3 linked regions of the Rattus norvegicus genome follow. The protein of the gene in region 1 purifies or fractionates together with the protein of each later gene. This does not show direct contact. Links are inferred from orthologs where the notes say so. Each region holds a gene or a part of one and is shown in the gene's direction. Other genes may lie near its edges.

Region 1 (5,475 bases):
GAGTTTATTTGCATATATTTAATGTGTTGGGGATAGGTCCCAAGTCTATATATACCCTAAAAATAATTTTACACTGTATTTTCAATTGCACTTTTACTTTGATTAAATAGTCACCATGAGGTTAGGTGTGGAATTTTCCACCAGTAGCCTTGTATTCAACAAATATCAGATAAGTGGAGCATTTTGAATTAGGGAAGCTCAACCTATAATTTTGTATGTTGCCCTCAGCATTTAATTTCACATTTATATGGTGATGGATGCACCATGGTTTTGTAGGTTAGAGGACAACTTTTAGGAGTCAGTTCTTCCTTCTACCATGTGAGTTCTGGGGTTCAGTCTTGAGAAGTGAGGTTTAACATTTAGCTTAACCAAAGATAAATAAATTACATATTTAATTACTTTGAGACATGTTATTTTGTTCTGTAGCTCTTCTTGGCTTAAAACTTGCTATGCAGAATAAGCTGGCCTTTCTTAGAGAGGACTCTGCCTCCCAATGGGTGAGATTAAAGAAAGTCATGCACCACCATGTTCTACCTTGAAAATGTTAACTTGTATACAAAGAAAGTGAGATAAAATTGTGGGGGGTTCAGAGGTTTGGAGATTATAAGAAGAAATCACAAAGTACATATTGAATCTTGAGCACCATGGTCCTTTGTTGGGTTTTATTTTGAGGGTATAGAGTGACTTGTAGTTTATTACCATATACAGTCATGGAAATATTGGCTGATTTTTTTTTAACAAAACGCCTGTCTTTGAGTAACAAGACTATGTTTAATATATTTTCGAATAATTACTTGGACTTGTGTCTGAACAATTGATTTAGTCTTTTAATATTTATTTATAAGTACATTGTAGCTGTCTTCAGACACATCACAAGAGGGCATCTGATCCCATTACAGATGGTTGTATCCACCATGAGTTGCTGGGATTTGAACTCAGGACCTCTGGAAGAGCAGTCAGTGCTCTTAACCGCCGAACCATCTCTCCAGCGATTTTTTTTTTAAGTTTTTATAAACTGGAAAGTGAACACAACTGCATTCAAGGCATGCATTCTGCCACTGGATTATATTCCTGTTCCTTGTTAAGTAACAGTCAGTACAGAAGTCTACGGCGCAGAGAATAAGTTCCCTTCCATGCCAGTACTCCTAATTCCCTCTGCTCTAGTGAAAGCAGTTTTAAATTTTTGGCCCATCTTGAGAGAATATAGAAGTGCACTAGTTTTTTTTTGTCCTGAAGATTGAATCCAGAGCCTCATAATTGTGGTCAAGCACTCTACCACCAAGCATTATTACCAAACAAAAAAAACACTTTTTTTTTAAATAAAGATTTAGTTGGTGGGAGTGGCCTTGAACATGAATCTTCTACCTTAGCTTCTGAGTAACTACGATGCTGCACTATCAAACCTGGGTTCCTTATTTAAGTTTGTTTTGTTTGTTATTTTGAGACCAACTGACCTCTGCATTTCAGTTCATGGGATGTTTTTATGATAGCAAGTTGTTGCCAATTTGTGGTGGCAGATAACTTTAATCTCAGTATTGGGAGATAGACAGCAGGACCTGGTCTACATACAAAGTTCTAGGACAGCCAGGGTTACGTAGACCCTGTCTCTCAAAACAAACAAAAGAATATATTGGAGATTATCAGTATGCTGTCACACCCATTCTTTACGAAGATGCCACACACAGTCCTACTTATGAATACAATTTGTGTCACAGTTAACTTTGTTAATGGGTATTTAGGTGGTATTTGGACCTTTGCTGCTATAAACAGTGCTACTGGAAATAGTCTTATAATAGAGCCTATTTTTGTGATTGTTGGGTCAGTTTCTTTAACATTGCAGTTACACAGTAAAAGGACTTTGGTAATAGAGATTAAGTGGGGGTCTTTTTTTTTTCTTTATTAACTTGAGTATTTCTTATTTACATTTAGATTGTTATTCCCTTTCCCGGTTTCTGGGCCAACATCCCCCTAACCCTTCCCCCTCCCCTTCTACATGGGTGTTCTCCACCCATCCTCCCCCCATTACCACCCTCTCCCCAACAATCCCGTTCACTGGGGGTTCAGTCTTGGCAGGACCAAGGGCTTCCCCTTCCACTGGTACTCTTACTAGGCTAATAATGGGGGTCTTTAAAACTTGAGATAGGGTCTATTTCATTGTGTGGCTCTGGCTCACCTGAACCTCATTGTGTAGATCAGGTATGGGGTCTACTCCCAGAGATTGACTACCTGCCTCAACATCAGAGTACTGGAATTAAAGGTCTGGGGGTTGGGGATTTAGCTCAGTGGTAGAGCGCTTGCCTAGAAAGCGCAAGGCCCTGGGTTCGGTCCCCAGCTCCGAAAAAAAGAAAAAAAAAAAAGGTCTGTACCACCATGCCTAGCTTAGATTGTTATTTTTATCAGTGCCTTTTTTATCAGTGTGTCCAATACTGAGGAAAATATCATGAGTTCAGGAAAGTAGGTTGGGTTTTGGGTTTTTTTGTTTGTTTTTGTTTTGTTTTTTTTTTGTTTTGTTTTGTTTTTTGTTTTTTTTTTTTTTGTTTTTGTTTTTTGAGATATGGTTTTTCTGTGTAGCCTTAGATGTCTCAACTCTATAGACCAGGATGGCCTCAAACTTAGATCTCTACCTGCTTCTGCCTCCTAAGTGCTACTATTAAAGTTGTATGCCACCATGGTCTGAAGTAGGTTTGATTTAATGGTGGAGATAAAGGACTTTTTAGTAAAATGTAAAAATAATCTTTATGTGAGAAACAAGTCATGTGAAACCGGAATATTTGAATTTGAATTGAATTTTAGGATTCCCCCAGTTTAGCTGGTACAGTGCTTCTTAGAAAGGCCCTATAATAAACTGTCTACCTGCTTTTATTATACTTACTGGTCTTCATTTTCCTAGTCACTTTCTCTCCTATAATCTCTTTTGAGATATACTTAAGATCCCTTTCATTTTTAAGCCACTGTTGTTCCCTGTAAACATTTTGGTTTGTCCAAGTTCTAAAGTTCACTATTTATGGCCTTTTCCTCTCCAACACTAGAAATTAACCCAGGATTTCATGCATGAGAGTTGAATGCTATAGTACCAAGCTATATTCTCAATAATACTCTTACCTTTTTTTGAGTCAGGGTCTCTGCTTAGTTGTGCACACTGGCCTTGAACGTAGGGCGTGGTCCTGTCAGGCCTTAGTTTGTGATCTTTCTGCTTTAGCAGCCTGAATAGTTGAGATTATAGATGTAGGCCACCCAGCCAAAGCCTAAAATTTCCAAGTTAATTTTTCTGAGTAAATATAGATATGCCTGTCCCCCCAAGCCATATATTTTTGGCTTACTGTGTATGCATGAACTAATACCTACCTTTCAAACCTAGTATTGCTAGCCACTTCTATCTATCCCTTTCAGGAGTTGTGTGTGTTCTATTTTACCATAAGCCAAACCCTAACTGGATAGAACTTAATTTTGTAAATTATTACTAAATGACATGCATGTAAATAATCTCCAACTCTAAGGGGCTGGGGATTTAGCTCAGTGGTAGAGCGCTTACCTAGGAAGCGCAAGGCCCTGGGTTCGGTCCCCAGCTCCCGGGGGAAGAAAAATAATCTCCAACTCTTTTGGTTGCTATTTTAGAAAGTCACTGATTCCTTTGTAAAGTGAAATTTAGGAACAAACATATATGACCTAACTTGTCTGGTATTGGGACGTAGACTCCTACTTTTCTGTGGGACAGTGGGGCACAGTTGAAAATTGTTCTAATAAGACAATGGGAAAGCGTTGTTGATACTTAGCAGTGCAAAAATTGCTGTTTGGACCATGATGCCAAGGGGCACTGGCAAGTTTTTCAGCTTCAAGGTGAATTTCTGTTGAGCAAGGTAACGGAAACACTTAAAATTGAGAATGTTCACTGCATAGGTATCATAAACAAAAATAAGTGATTTTTATATCATGTCATTTCACTTAACCTCTTTTTTAGGTGAAGAAAATGAGACTGGAGAGGTTGCGCGTATAATTGCATATAGCTAGTTTTAGTTTGCACCAGGATATAAACCCCCATTTTTTCCCTCAACACTTCACTCATTCCATTTTACCTCATTGCCTCTTACTGGGAAAACAGAAACATCTATCTAACATATTAAAATGTTGGCTATATTAAAATGTCAGCTATGGGCTGAAGGTACAATTTAAGAAGTCTAGATATGAGTATAGATCAGTGATGGGTTTCTAGTTAGTGTGTTTGGTGAGTTGTCCTAGGAAAGGTAGCATTTACAATGATAATTGAGGGCAAGGAAGATGACTGACTCTTCAGGAAGGAAAGAAAAACATTTGAAAGTATGGGGATAATAAACCTGGTAATTAAATGGGAAGCAGGTTTATGGTTGGTGTTAAGTAAATATTTGCTAAAGAAATGTTCATGTTAATTTGGAGGGAACCAGACTGAATTTGTTAGCAGCTCAAAGTTCTTATAGGAGTCATTTGACTTTTTTTCTCTTACACAGACCAGAAGGAAAGGATTATGCCCTTCATTGGCTAGTGCTGGGTACCCATACATCTGATGAGCAGAATCATCTGGTGGTTGCTCGAGTTCATATTCCCAATGATGATGCACAGTTTGATGCTTCCCATTGTGACAGTGACAAGGGAGGTGGGTATACTGTGTATTTCAATATTAATGTCAAAGGGAGTATTCATCTTGGCATATATATTGTAGTTAGCTTTTGGCTTAGCAATGTGACTTTTAAAGAACTAGTAACACAACATGTGAGGTTTTCACAATAACGTTTACAGTACCAAGAAATTAGGATTAGTCTAGCGAAATGAAAGGTTCATAGGAAATTGTTTAAGCACAATATAGTGTGTTTATAATATTCTCAGCAATTAAGAATGAAAAGAAAAACTATATGCACCAGTACGGAAGGTGAGATTTTTGTTAATAATCAGATCTTAACTATAAAAAGGCTAATTTTTTAGTTTTTTTTTAATACACAAGGTAGAACAAACTATTAACTTAGCATGGTAAGCAATCCATTATATTGAAAATGGGCTTTGAGAATAAATTTCATATAGCAGGTAACCTGTATTTTGGAGAGTTTCTTTTTCTCTTCAATTTGTGTTCTACTCTGACAGGGTAAAATCGGTTGGGTTGATGCACTAAATGACTTGTGATTTTTAATCCTGAATGTTTTGTTTGTCTCCTTACATTAGAATTTGGTGGCTTTGGTTCTGTAACAGGAAAAATTGAATGTGAAATTAAAATTAATCATGAAGGAGAAGTAAATCGCGCTCGTTATATGCCACAGAACCCACACATCATTGCCACAAAAACACCATCTTCTGATGTTTTGGTTTTTGACTATACAAAACACCCTGCAAAACCAGGTATGTATTAATAAAGCCAGGCCATCACACATTTTTCTTGATTAGAGATAATATTTTAAAAATACTTTAAAGTACTGTACTGTTAAGACTGGAAAATCGGCTCAACAGCAGTTA
Region 2 (6,012 bases), on another chromosome or scaffold:
TCTAGAGATACAGTAACCTGTTACTTAGATGCTGAGGCCCTGGCAGAAAACACTAAATCATGTTTCCTGATTAAATAAACCTCACGTTTCTGTAAAAGCAGACACTGCAGTTTATATCATGGAATGGCCACACATCTGAGCTGAGGCGCTTTAGGCCTTACCTTTGCTACAGGAAGCACTCCTGCTATGAATCCCAACCATGGCTGCAGTGAAGCCCTGGTGTGCAACACTTCAAATGTACCACGGCTAATGTCACGCCTCCTAGCTGCTGCTTTGAGAAACTCTTTGCTGTTGCCCTTCACGTTCAGTTAGGAGACACTGTATGGGCTGTATAGGAGACACTGTATGCCACATGGCATCTGTGAGACATCTCTGTCACCACAGGTGTCCTCATTCCCTTTGTAGCAATACCCACCTGTTTCTCTTCACCATGACATGTCTGTTCTCCATTTCTCTAAATTCCATGCCTAGTCTATTAAAGAACGCATCAGTGAGTTTGTTCTTTGCCGTATTTCGGTGAGCGTCATTCACTCTTCTAACTTTTGTTTGCAATGGTTGATTTGTTTTGTTTTGGTTTTGTTCTGGAGACAGAGTCTCAATGTAGCCCAGGCTGACCTCACACTCCCAGTCCTCAGCCTTCTGAATGCTGGGATTAGTGTGTTGGCCACCACGGCTAGCTGTGGTCCGTCTCTTCCAATGACTAAGTGGTTCGTTCCACAGCCTAACTACCCAGCAACTGAAGGACAGCTGGGTTGTTTCTGGTAAAGTCACTACAGACATCAGTGTACAATTTTGTGTAAAAGTACATTTTTGTTTCATGGAATAAACGTATCAGAGTAGCCATTGAGCTGTCTGTAGTCTCCAGTTGTACCATCCCCCCTTCCCCCCCAGCAGCATGAGTCAAGTGATGTGAGATGTGACCGTGTGACATTGTTTCCCTGGGGACAACGGTACTGAACACTGTCTGGCCTCTTACCACTTCTTTCCCTTGTGGTGACCTCTGAAACCCATCATCCTTCCCAGTTTGTTTTGTATATTTCAGGGTTTTTTTCTTTACTTTCCAAGTACTGGCACTCTGAGGAGTTGCGAAGTTCCAGATGCGTTCTCCTAGTCCTTAGCTACCTGTCCATCCTTAGCAGAGCACTTCCCAGAGCCCACACTTGTAATTTCACCAAGTCTGACTTACCTCTTCCCCTTCTGCAGATCCCTAAGGTTTTTTTTTTTTTTCTAAACTCCTTTTGTTGTGTGTGCCTTCTGCTTAAGGCCAGGAATCATTTTTAGTGTGTTTGTATGAGAGCATGAGACTTACTCAAGGGTCTTTCTGTCTTGCCTTCTGAGGTTCAGCTGGTCCAGCACCGTCTGGGAGTAATGTATGCTGTCTGTGTCAAACATCCCTCCTGCATCCTTCTGTGGGCCAGCCCCCTCCCCAGGTTCTGTTGAAGTACAGCCCATCTCTTCCTGGAGCTCTGTGCTGCCACCACATCTTGGGGTGCGTGCAGAGGCCTGACTCCCCACCTGTTGGTTCTTAGCTGAAGACATTGTACTTTCTTTGTTTGCCTATCCACATGTTTTCATGCAAATTTGTCTGTGTAGATTTGAGATTTAGCATTTTATATTTTTCCATCTAACTCCGCACGCCTTGGTATGTTTACTTGTGTGTCCTATTGTTTCATTGTGATGGTGTTGTTTCTCGTTTCCATGTTCAGCGCTAGTGGGTGAAATTACATTAGGGTTTGGGAATTGTTTCTTGATGCTTCTTATACCTTACCAGACTTTATTACTTATGAAGGCTTCTGTATAAATTCTTTGGATTCTGTACATTATCAGTTTGCTTCTTCTCTTTCTGCCTGCAGACTTCTATTTCTGTCTTGTTTTCCACCTGACGCTGCTGTTTTCTGGGCGCTGCTGGAGAGGCCTGCACTTCGTAGCCTTGCTCTGGCTCTTGGGGAAAGCCATGCTGCTCCCTGCAGTGTGCTTTCCAGGTGTGCTTGTGGAAAGAGAGCCATCTAGGGATTCAGGAGCCTAGCAGGCTCAGGCAGCTTCTTACAGTAAACAGATGGCCCCCTGGACTTGGTAGGGGACGGAATAATGTAAATCTCCGAATTTGAAGTAGGCGCATTCAAATTTAAATGTGAACTCCTCTGCTTTCCCTGAAGGCCTGGGGCAACTTACCTACAAGTCTCAAAATCTCTTTCCTCCTCCGCAGAAGGGAGGCCCAGCTTCATTGCTAATGGTTATGCAAGCCTTTGTGGACTGCCGGTAGTTGAGGAGTCTTGGTGAAAGACTGGGCAGATTCTCAGGAATCTTTAGTGTTTGGGGACCCTTACAGGGCTGATTCTTGGAGGGACACTGCCTGGGTTTATTTCCAGCCTGGGCAGGTTACACCTCCTGAGTTGCCCTAGAGGACACATCTGAAAATAGGTCCTGTTCCAGGGACTGTTGAGCAATACAGTGAATTGGTGTATGTTCCATGTTTAACGGACTTGACATGTTAGCCTTGGTGACATGTTAGCTGGGAACATTAGGACACATTCTTATTTGTGGAACACCTTTCTTAAAAATGAAATTGTTTACTTTGCAGATTTTTTTAAAAAATGGATTTGACCAACCATGGACTTATTCTACTGCAGCAGTTAAACGCTCAGCGGGAGTTTGGGTTCCTGTGTGACTGCACGGTTGCAATCGGCGATGTGTACTTCAAGGCACACAAATCCGTTCTCGCTTCATTCTCCAATTACTTTAAGATGTTGTTTGTCCATCAGACCAGGTAACTAAAGCGGTTGATAATCTAAGGGCTGTAGACCTCCTGACGCTGGGCTCCTCTTCCCACTCTGCCTTCATTCAGACCATGAATCTCTCTGCCTCTCCCAGGATCTAGGCACCCACCCCACTCCCTAGTTACCCCACCAGCCTCTGCCTTTCTTGGTTACTAATGCTTTCATTAGCACTCGAGAATCACCTACCTAGTCTGGCCCCACCCAGCCCCTCCTCCAAACTGCCTTCCTGCCTGAGAGTCTCACCTCCTGCTCCTCCAAGCCCAATCCCCTGATTCCCCTTTGAATACTTAGTTTTAAGTGAAAAGCTGGAGGGCTCAGATTTCCTGTTCCCTCTTTTGTAATGCAAAATTCTGTCTTTGCTGATTTCTTTTCTTCTGATTTCTCCTAAATATTTTAGGGAAAGGAATCTCTGGGTATGTGAGGAAAACAATCTCCCCTCTCCCCTCTCCCGTCTCCCCTCTCCCCTCTCCCGTCTCCCCTCTCCCCTCTCCCCTCTCCCGTCTCCCCTCTCCCCTCTCCCCTCTCCCCTCTCCCCTCTCCCCTCTCCCCTCTCCCCTCTCCCCTCTCCCCTCTCCCCTCTCCCCTTCCTCCAATCTCTCCATCTTATTCTACTCTTCACCATCCTGACTCTCACCCCACCCCACCCCCTGCCTACTCTGGGCAGAAGACTGCCCTTGACCTGGCCAGCCAGGGAATCCTGCCGAGTTCTCTGTTCTCCTTGAACCTTCTTGAAAGGGCACCCGTGCCTTTGACAGCTCTGCTCATCCCATACTCTTCCAGTCCTCTGTGCTGTGGTTTCCTCTCTCTACTGCAGTCATGTTCCAAAGGACATCTCTCCACCAGAGCACTGCCCTCTTGCAGGCCATCCTCCTGTCCTCCTCAGCCCTCACTGTACCAAATGTCCTTTGTTCTTCACGGGGCACCAGGGCCTCCAGCCTGGGGCCTCCTGAGCCCTTGCTGTCTTTGCACATTGTCTGTGTGGAGCAGGTCATCTCCCTTTCCTTGGTAGGTGGAAGCTTGTTAGTTTCAGCTCTGGCCTCCATCATTCTGTTTCTAGTTACAGAACCCCACCCTGGCTGCCTGCTGGTCCTTTAGACCTGACTGTGCTCCCTCTGTTTCTCTCATTGGGCGGGACTAAAACTGAATTAAAAGGGTCTCTCCAAAGACTCCTGGCTTGCCTGTTTTCATCTTCAAGTAGGCCAGGCTTCAGATCCATTTCCGATCATATCTCATCTATCCTAGGCCATGGCTCTTCAGCACATGTCCCATTGCCCTGGCCTCACGTGCTCACTCCCATTTTGTAACCACCCATTGTCCACATCACTGTCAGCTTAGTGTCCCCAGAGACTACTTGGGATGAGGTGAGCCTCTGTCCACAACTTCCCACAGTGGAGCACTACCCACTGCCCACTCCCCACCTTTCCCTGCCCTCATCCTGGTCATCAGTCAAGGATGACTGTTGTGCCTTTCAGGAGCGCAGTGTTCACTCTAAGTTGTGCTCTGTGCACTCACCCCTCCGCTCACTTGTGAATGCCATCCGGAGACTTCCCTCTCCTACAGTAAGACTTACAGATCTACCACACCACAGGGCACACACCACTGAGGGGGGCTGAGGCATCAAAGAGCCACTTGGTAAACATCTGTAGGAGCAGGAAGGCCAGGAGCAGGGGCCTTAGCAGTGAATTGTCATCTTAGAGGGCTGGGAATGATTCCTCTGAGCAGGGCATGCGAGATGTATTCCTGTGATCCTAGCTCGAGGGAGGCTGAGGCAGCAGAGTTGTCAGGTCCAGACTAGCCAAGACCCCATCTCAAAGCAAATTCATACGTAGACTCCCCGTCCTTTAACATCGATATGCTAAAGCTGGGTTTGGCAGCAACTAATCTCAATACAGTGAACTAACTGATCTTGGAAAAGAAATGTCTGCAACTTGGAAATGTGAAAGACGATGTAATGGGTTTTTAATTAGGTGCAAGACATGTCCTTTCTTTACATATAGGGCAGTGAACAAAGATCTTTCTAACAGGGGTGTCTTTGTATGTGAGCACACCCCAGTACACACCTGTGTGCAGACTTCAGGTTCACGGTCACAGACAGCAGACAGCAGACAGCAGTGCTTAAGCAGCTCCTCCTGCAGCCTCAGGCGCCTGGCCTACCTCTAGGCGAAGATGAGAAGTTTCTGTCCTTCAGTCACCACTAGGTGTCTCTATCTTTTCTCTGTAGACTAAGCACTGAAGAGTAAAACTTGCTAAGAATAACTGCTGACTGTGGTGGCCGTGCCTTTCTTTAATCTAGTACTCTAGAGGCAGCGGCAGGTGGATCACTGTGAGGTCAAGACTGGCCTGGTCTTCATATTGAAACCCTGTCTCCATTTTTAAAAAAATGTTTAACATTATTTAAAACTCTCACCCTAGAATTCTAGTGAAGGAGAAACTGACCTTGGAATTACTGTTTGTGATTGTGCTAACCCACCCTTTGCCATTCTCCTGCCTGGCAGCTGTGTGCATCTCGGAGCTTAGGTGGGACTGCTTGTGTGTATTGTAGAAGAGAAGTGACAGTCGGGCCCCTGTCACATTAAGTGGATAGGAAGAAGGAGCAGTCCAACCAGCCCCGAGGAAAGGAGCACAGGATTGCAGTAGCCGAAAGTCACAGAAGAAACTACGTGTGTGTGTGTGTGTGTGTGTGTGTGTGTGTGTGTGTGTGTGTGTGTGTGTACACATGTGCTTGCTGGGCTACCCCAGGGACTCCCAGCTTCCTGCCTGTAGTGTTCCACCAGTGCTGCCGAGCCAGCAGCCCAGTGCTCACTCCTCAGCCTGGCTGAAGTGTATGTAGTACTTACTGGCCTCCTGGTTCTGTCCTTGCACCGTCAGGAATTACACACACTTGTTTAAAATTGTAGAGGCTTACTGTCAGCAACAACTTCCAAGCAATCAATAGAATGGGCCGTCCAACCACAGCGAGCAACTACAAAGCCCTCTGGAAAGGGGCCCCGCTGGGTAGGACTGGAAATGCTGGAAGGAAGCCCCGACTGTACTTCCCCTCCCTTGAGCACCACATCCATCCATCTCCTGGAGAAATACACATCTCTGGGGGCCTAGGTCTCTGAGCTCTGAGCCTCTGCCTGATGATGGCAGTGGCTCCACGCCCCTTTAGTTCCAACACTGGGAAGCAGGAGGTGGATCTCTGAGCTCCAGGCCAGCCTGACCTACAAAGGAAACCTTGTCTCAGACAGAGTAA
Region 3 (6,275 bases), on another chromosome or scaffold:
ACAGTTTAGTGACTGGATGAACATCAGAAGAGACATCGAGACTGTTAGAGACTCTGGGAACTTTTGAAGTTGGACTATATGTTTTAGCATTATGCTATGGTCCCCATAGACTCATGTGTTTCAACAAGCCTATGGGGGCCAGGGAGTGGAATTTGGTGGTTTAAATATGCTTGGCCCAGGGAGAGGCACTATTAGGAGGTGTGGCCTTGTTGGAAGTGGGCTTTGAGACCCTCTTCCTAGCTGCTTGAAGACAATCTTCTCCTGTCTGCCTTTGAAGGACAGGAGAGGCTTTGGCTCCTCCAGCCCATATCTTCCTGGATGCTGCCGTGCTCCCACCTTGATGATAGTGAACTGAATCTCTGAACCATAAGCCAGCCCCAGTTAAATGTTGTCCTTTATGAGTTGCCTTGGTCAAGGTGTCTCTTCACAGCAATTTCCCTAAGACATGCGGGAAACACGGGATGCTCATGAATCTGCAAGTCATCCTTGAACAGGGCCATGCTAAGTTTCTCTGCATCATTCAAATTTTAGTATATATGTTGCCTAATCAAGCTCTGATCATTTTTTTTATTAGTCTATTGGTTTTTCAAGACATGGTTTCTCTGGCTGTTCTGGAATTCCCTCTATAGACCAGGGTGGCCTCAAACTCAGAAATCCACCTTGCTCTGCCTCCCAAGTAGATTAAAGGCCTATGCTACCACTCCTGGCTAGCACTTCTTATTGTTTTAACCTGGAATTTTTTTGGGGGGGAGGGGCAGTCCATTCAATTCCCTCCCCCTGAAATCCATGCCTCTCTGTTTCTGCATCCTGTCCAAATGCCAATTCCTCCTTGGAACTTAGCTTGTAAACCACTGTGAACGACACCACGTTTCTTGTGACATTACAGTCTCCTGTCTTTAGTGTGTCAACAGCTTCTCATTTCATACACCGCTTTGGAGTTTACTGAAGCACCTGCTCCTTCTTGGCCTATGTTAACTTTATCTAGGCGATGGCCCCGTGGGGCAGAGTAGTGTTGCCACTGCTTTGGAACAGATAGAATGGGGTATATAAATAAACCTTGGGGGGTGGGGCTGACTAGCTTACCCACAGTCCCTCTGCTCAGAAGCAGAACTGGCCTCAGAGCAACAGTTCCCAAATTATATGCCAAAGGTCTTTGTTCACATTAATGTGTTTCCCCCGTACTGGCTTCCTCACCGGACTGCAGGCCCCAATTCCCTTACTTGCCTGTGTGCTCTAAGCCAGTTGTAGCCCTACACGAGAGAACGGTGGATGGATACAGATGGGACAAAGTTCACTATTTACCTTCTGCCCACCTATGGGGTGACAAGGACTTAGTATACAGCGCCTCTAACCATCCCAACAGCTGGACAACAAGTGACGCAGAGTCTCACATCCAAGAATAGGTGGCGCCAGCCCATGAGCTACAGAGACAGGCTTGCTCTGTTGTCTCTGCCTCTGGAATCCTAAAGGTGCCTCTGGGCAGCCTCGGGCTCGTGACAGAGCTTCCTGGACAGAGGTGTTATCTCTGCAGAAGGCAATGTGTAGCTATGCCTTCCTAGGCTGGAAGATCCTGTCTGGTGGGGCTGCTACCAACTTCCTTTCCAGGCTCAGCCAAGGGAGACAGATGCTCAAATTAACCAGATTCTGCTGTGGGTCAAATCCCCAGGAAGACCAGAGAAGCAGGAAGACCCAGGGGAAAGGGGGGATGTGGACATGTGAAAGAGGATTCCTATATCTCAAGCTGGGGGGCGGGGGGAAGAAGGTGGAAGGCAGGCAGGCGCTGCAGGTCAGACTGCCCACCACGCAGGAAGCAGAGGACCAGTGTGGCCCCTGGAAAATGAACAGGGAAGGCTCTGGGAAGGAAAAGCAGTACACAACCACACCAAGAATGCAAGCATTCCAGCAGGGTGTGCCTGCAGGGGGCCTTGCTAGCAGGTGCAGTGGGCAGTCCAGACCGAAAGCAGAGATGCGGGTAGTGGGTGTTACCAGTGTTATCTCCAGCCCTGGCGCCAAGAGTGAGTCTGGTTGAGGACACTCTGTCTTTTCTCCTGGAGGGAGGGAGATCTTATCTGACTGGAGCCATATCCACAAGATCTGTCTTAGGTCTGCCCTTTACGTATTTGTCGTGTTTGTGCCCACGGTCTACGTGACTATTTCTCTTACACTGTTATCTCTACAGTGCGTGACTGGCATACTCGAGTGGGTCTTGTGGTCACTGTGTCGGAGCTCTATGCTGCTGACTTGTGTGTGCCGTGCACGCGGTTTCGCGGGAGTCTATGCTGAAGGCAGAGTCATTTTGAGTGTTGTGACTTATGGCACACATATGTGTGCGTGTCCTGTGTCCGATTCTCTTAGGCTTGCCCTGGTCTCCGGGGAGTGACGTGGAGTGTCCGTGCTGTAAGATCAAGGTGTTGGGAGACCTACCCGGGTCCTGAAAGGTCTGGGTGTAGTAGCTGTGCGCGTGTGGTGTGTGTACGCCTGCCCAGCCGTGGGTCTGTGCAGCTGTGTTTCCGCGTGTGCCCGCTCTGCTCGCTGCGCGGGGGCGGCCCCGGGAGGCGCTGCGGGGCCCCGCCGGCCGCGGGCTCCAATGGCAAAGCCGGTGCGGCCCCTGCTAATTACATAAGCGGGGACGTCAATAATTCGCGGGAAAACGCGAAAAAGATGGCGCCCCGCGCCCGGGGGGCCCCTTCCTGAGCGCACCGGCCCCTCCCTCCCTGCGTCCCCTCCTCCCCGCGGCGCCCCCGCCCCGCCCCGCCCCCGCCGAGACCCCTACCCCGGCCCCAGGGGCGGACACTCGGCCGGGCAGTCCTGGGCCGAGCGCACCACCGCCACCGATGTGCTTGGTGGCCAGACTCCAAGTGGGACCGGCTGACGCGCTGCCTCGCGGTAAGTCCCGCGCTGCGGGCGCCCCGGGAGTGTCCGCGTTTCACGCTTCAATCCTGCACACGATCCCTCTCCCAGAAACCTAGATTGAGCCCTACGATCCCCGGGCGGGGGCTGGAGTTCTGAGGAGCTGCGCGCTTGTAGGATGGGAACGGAGATGGAGCCCGAGCGGTACCCTCAGGGCAGCGGGAGTCCCAGCCACATCCCCAGCGCTGGGCAGGATGTGGGTGACAGGTCTCCGTTTGTGGCCGCGTGTCTTTTCTTTTCCATTTGAAGCTATGGAGGGGAGGATAGGCAGGGCATTTGGGATTTTGCTCACGTCCAAAGTCAGGCTACGATAGGCTGGGAGCGGGGAAAGTTTGCAGTTAGAGCAACTGAGGAAAGGAGTGCCTGTAGCTGAAGGGGACACTTTTTGCAAGCTATCCTCTCCCCTGAACACCCTTTTAAAAAGCCAACGGCCGCCCTGGAGAGGCCTCGGCGCATGAATCATCCGCGCTTCCTGCCCCCGCCCGGCCCCGCGCGCCCAGTGCCGCGGATTTGAACTGGACGCCGACGGGAACCCGCAAACAAGCACTTCTGTGCCGATGGGTTTGAATCAGCCAATCACAGCCCGCGGGGGCCCTCTCCAGGAGGATGGAGGCGAGATGGGGGGGCCACCACCCGGGGGCCCAGCACGGCCTCGGGGGCGCAGCGACCCGGCCTGCCCCCAAAATCTCAGTGGGGGAGGAAATGTCAGTTTGTGAACCTGCCGAGGCCGGCCACACTCCAGACCCAGCATGCGGGGATCTCCCAGCTCCCAAAGAGCCAAGTGCCAGGGAGATGGCAAAAAAGTTCTGACTACAGCCCTTACCTGGTGCTTGTTCCTCTGCCCTGGAGTAAAAGATAGGAAGGAGAAGGCAGAAGGAGGTTGATTCCCATCATTTGAAGACCCTAGATCCTGACTATGCCCCACCGCCCCAGGCCCCTCACATGCCCACGTGTATTTAGTTTTACGTATAGGACTGGCACACTGCCATAGACTATCCTACAGTCTCTGAAGAGGCACTCACATGAAAACACACCCGGAGCTGTCTTCTTGTGGGCTGGCAGGGCACCAGGTGCCCAACACCTTAGGCAGAGGGAGGAACCCTGAACAGGAGCGCCCCCCACCATCCCCTTACACTACAACATAAGGAAACTGTATTTGATCTTAGGAGAGTATGTGTGGAGGAATACGACCACGGAGGGGAGAAAGCAATAACTGACCACCAGCGAAGGTTTGGGAAGCCACAAACCTTCTGGAAGGTTCAGATAGAGAAGCTGGGTGCCCTGAGGCTCCCCGTTCCAGGTACCAGGCAGTAGCAAGCAACAGGCTCAGGAAAATAGGCTTGGAAAAGGTGAATGAAATAGCTGATGAGGAAAAATGAGACAAGAGTTGGAAGCAGGACATGATGGGAAATAGGGCAGGATGCTCCAACCACTCTAGGGTGGAGATTCGGAGTTTCTCAGGCCACTGTCCAAAAAGCCCGCTGTGGCAGTGCACTGGTTGGAGAAGTGACCACCACCACGGTGATACCTCTATCAGGAACAGAGAAGCAAAAGGCAGCACTTTAATGAGATGTAGAGAGCCAGATGTGTTAGACTGGTATGGCAATGGCTTAGCTGCTTTGAGCCAATGTGTATGTGGATAAAAGCATGGGCAGGTTTAAATGCCCCAAACTGGTTCCCATGAAGTTATCGGTTAATCGAGAACAGAAAGGGGAATTTCAAAAGGGGGGGGGGGCGCATGGCTATGTTATGCGGTTCCCATGCCACCTCAAGAATTTTCATTGCTAGGTGGGCTTTTCTCTGAAGATGTTTTAGGGGAAACATAACATTTTAAGTGCTTGCTTCCTTGGAACTGAGCACACATATGGGACAAAGCTTCAGCCTCCTGGACATGAGGTGGGGTTCAGATCCCTGGGTCCTTTGCGCCAGGTATGGCGGGAAGATACACTCTCTTAGCAGCATGGTATGGTATAGAGCCTCCTTGACTCCCTGTGAGCCATGGCTGCGCCTCTGGGTCACCAGCCACTTCTTCTTGTATCTCCTGTTTCCCTATCCGTAGAATGAGATAATAATGTCTCCCTCCCAGAGTTGTACTGTCAATAAACGTGTTTGAGAGCCTTACTGGATTTCAGGAGCAGGAAGCAAGATAAATATTGCTCTTTCTCCTCCGGTGTCAGCAGAAGCTGATGGAGACGCAAGCTCTGGAACCAGGGACTCAGGAAGCCTTTGGTGCCACCAGCCCTAACAAGGGGGCCCCGTCTAAGACCAAAAAGAACTTCAAAGACTTGATGTCTAAGGTGACAGAGGGACAGTTTGTGCTATGCCGGTGGACTGACGGGCTATACTACCTTGGCAAGATCAAGCGGGTAAGTCTGCTCTGGTCCTTGGGCCCAGGCTCCTGTGTTTTTCTGCTCATCTCCTTTTACCCCTCATGCCTAAAGCTGAAAGTGGAAGGGACCAGAGCTTGGCTTTGCAGGCTCCAAGTCCTCAGGCACAATGTGGCCCAGCAGGTTCTTCAAAGAACTTAAGCAAGCACCAGACTGGGCAGGGCATGGATGACTCTCTGACCTGCTCTTCGATCCTTAAAAGCATCCCCATTAAGTCGTCCCCTTGTTCCTAAAGGCCATACTCTGAGGTGGGAAACACAGCTCTCCTTCTGGCCTGTCTTCTGAAGCACAAGGCCAAGAGAGACAGAGGAAGACTGAGACCCAGCTCCCCCCTGCTGCTCCCTCCTGCTGCTCCCCCCTGCTGCTCCTCCACATTTCTTCTCTCTTTGCCTCAGGTCAGCAGTCCTAAGCAAAGCTGCCTCGTGACTTTCGAAGACAATTCCAAATACTGGGTCCTTTGGAAGGACATCCAGCATGGTGAGTGTCCAAGTGTCCACTGCCGCTCCCCCATGCCTCTTCTCTGCCTTCAGTTTTGCCCTCTCTGTCACCCCCTTTTTTTTCCTGGCATCTGTTCTAGTCCATGAACCCTAGGCCTTGAGTACTCATCTTGGGCCCGTCTAGAAGTGAAGTGATAATTAAATGTCAACTCCTGGATCTCCTTTCTGAATGCTCACACTTCAAAAGGGAAGCAGGGCAGAGGGAAGAGGAGCTTGGACATTTATTAGCACCAAGAGTGCTTGGACTGGGTCTCGGGCCTGCAGTTTGAGTCCTTCCTGAATGGCATCTGCTACTCTGGGTCTCCTAGAGCTAGAGAGGAGGAAGAGGCCAGAGGAGAGGGAGGTGTCAGTTATAGATTTGAACTGTGTTCCCTATTTGCATGTGAAGAGAACCTGTGGGGGAGGTGGGGGAGGTGCAGTCAAGAAAGCATGAGAGTGGCCGAGCTGAGATGGAGCAGGGTCATCTGTGAGGATGAGAGGG

Evidence for each region.
Region 2: the proteins of Rbbp7 (region 1) and Zbtb2 purify together in Homo sapiens (affinity purification with mass spectrometry; 3 studies listed by BioGRID and IntAct, counting the BioPlex papers as one, with this or other methods). This does not show direct contact. The link is inferred for Rattus norvegicus from reciprocal best matches to the Homo sapiens genes RBBP7 and ZBTB2.
Region 3: the proteins of Rbbp7 (region 1) and Phf19 purify together in Homo sapiens (affinity purification with mass spectrometry; 3 studies listed by BioGRID and IntAct, with this or other methods). This does not show direct contact. The link is inferred for Rattus norvegicus from reciprocal best matches to the Homo sapiens genes RBBP7 and PHF19.

The regions. Positions count from the first base shown.
Region 1 is NC_086039.1:35,552,438-35,557,912, reverse strand, and holds part of Rbbp7 (histone-binding protein RBBP7), read left to right. Parts: intron 1-4,481; coding exon 4,482-4,627; intron 4,628-5,187; coding exon 5,188-5,361; intron 5,362-5,475. UniProt on the Homo sapiens protein: Core histone-binding subunit that may target chromatin remodeling factors, histone acetyltransferases and histone deacetylases to their histone substrates in a manner that is regulated by nucleosomal DNA.
Region 2 is NC_086019.1:43,236,887-43,242,898, reverse strand, and holds the start of Zbtb2 (zinc finger and BTB domain-containing protein 2), read left to right. Parts: upstream 1-2,578; 5' UTR 2,579-2,594; coding exon 2,595-2,767; intron 2,768-6,012. UniProt on the Homo sapiens protein: May be involved in transcriptional regulation.
Region 3 is NC_086021.1:38,590,421-38,596,695, reverse strand, and holds the start of Phf19 (PHD finger protein 19), read left to right. Parts: upstream 1-2,841; 5' UTR 2,842-2,886; intron 2,887-5,087; exon of another isoform or gene 5,088-5,090; 5' UTR 5,091-5,096; coding exon 5,097-5,276; intron 5,277-5,692; coding exon 5,693-5,774; intron 5,775-6,275.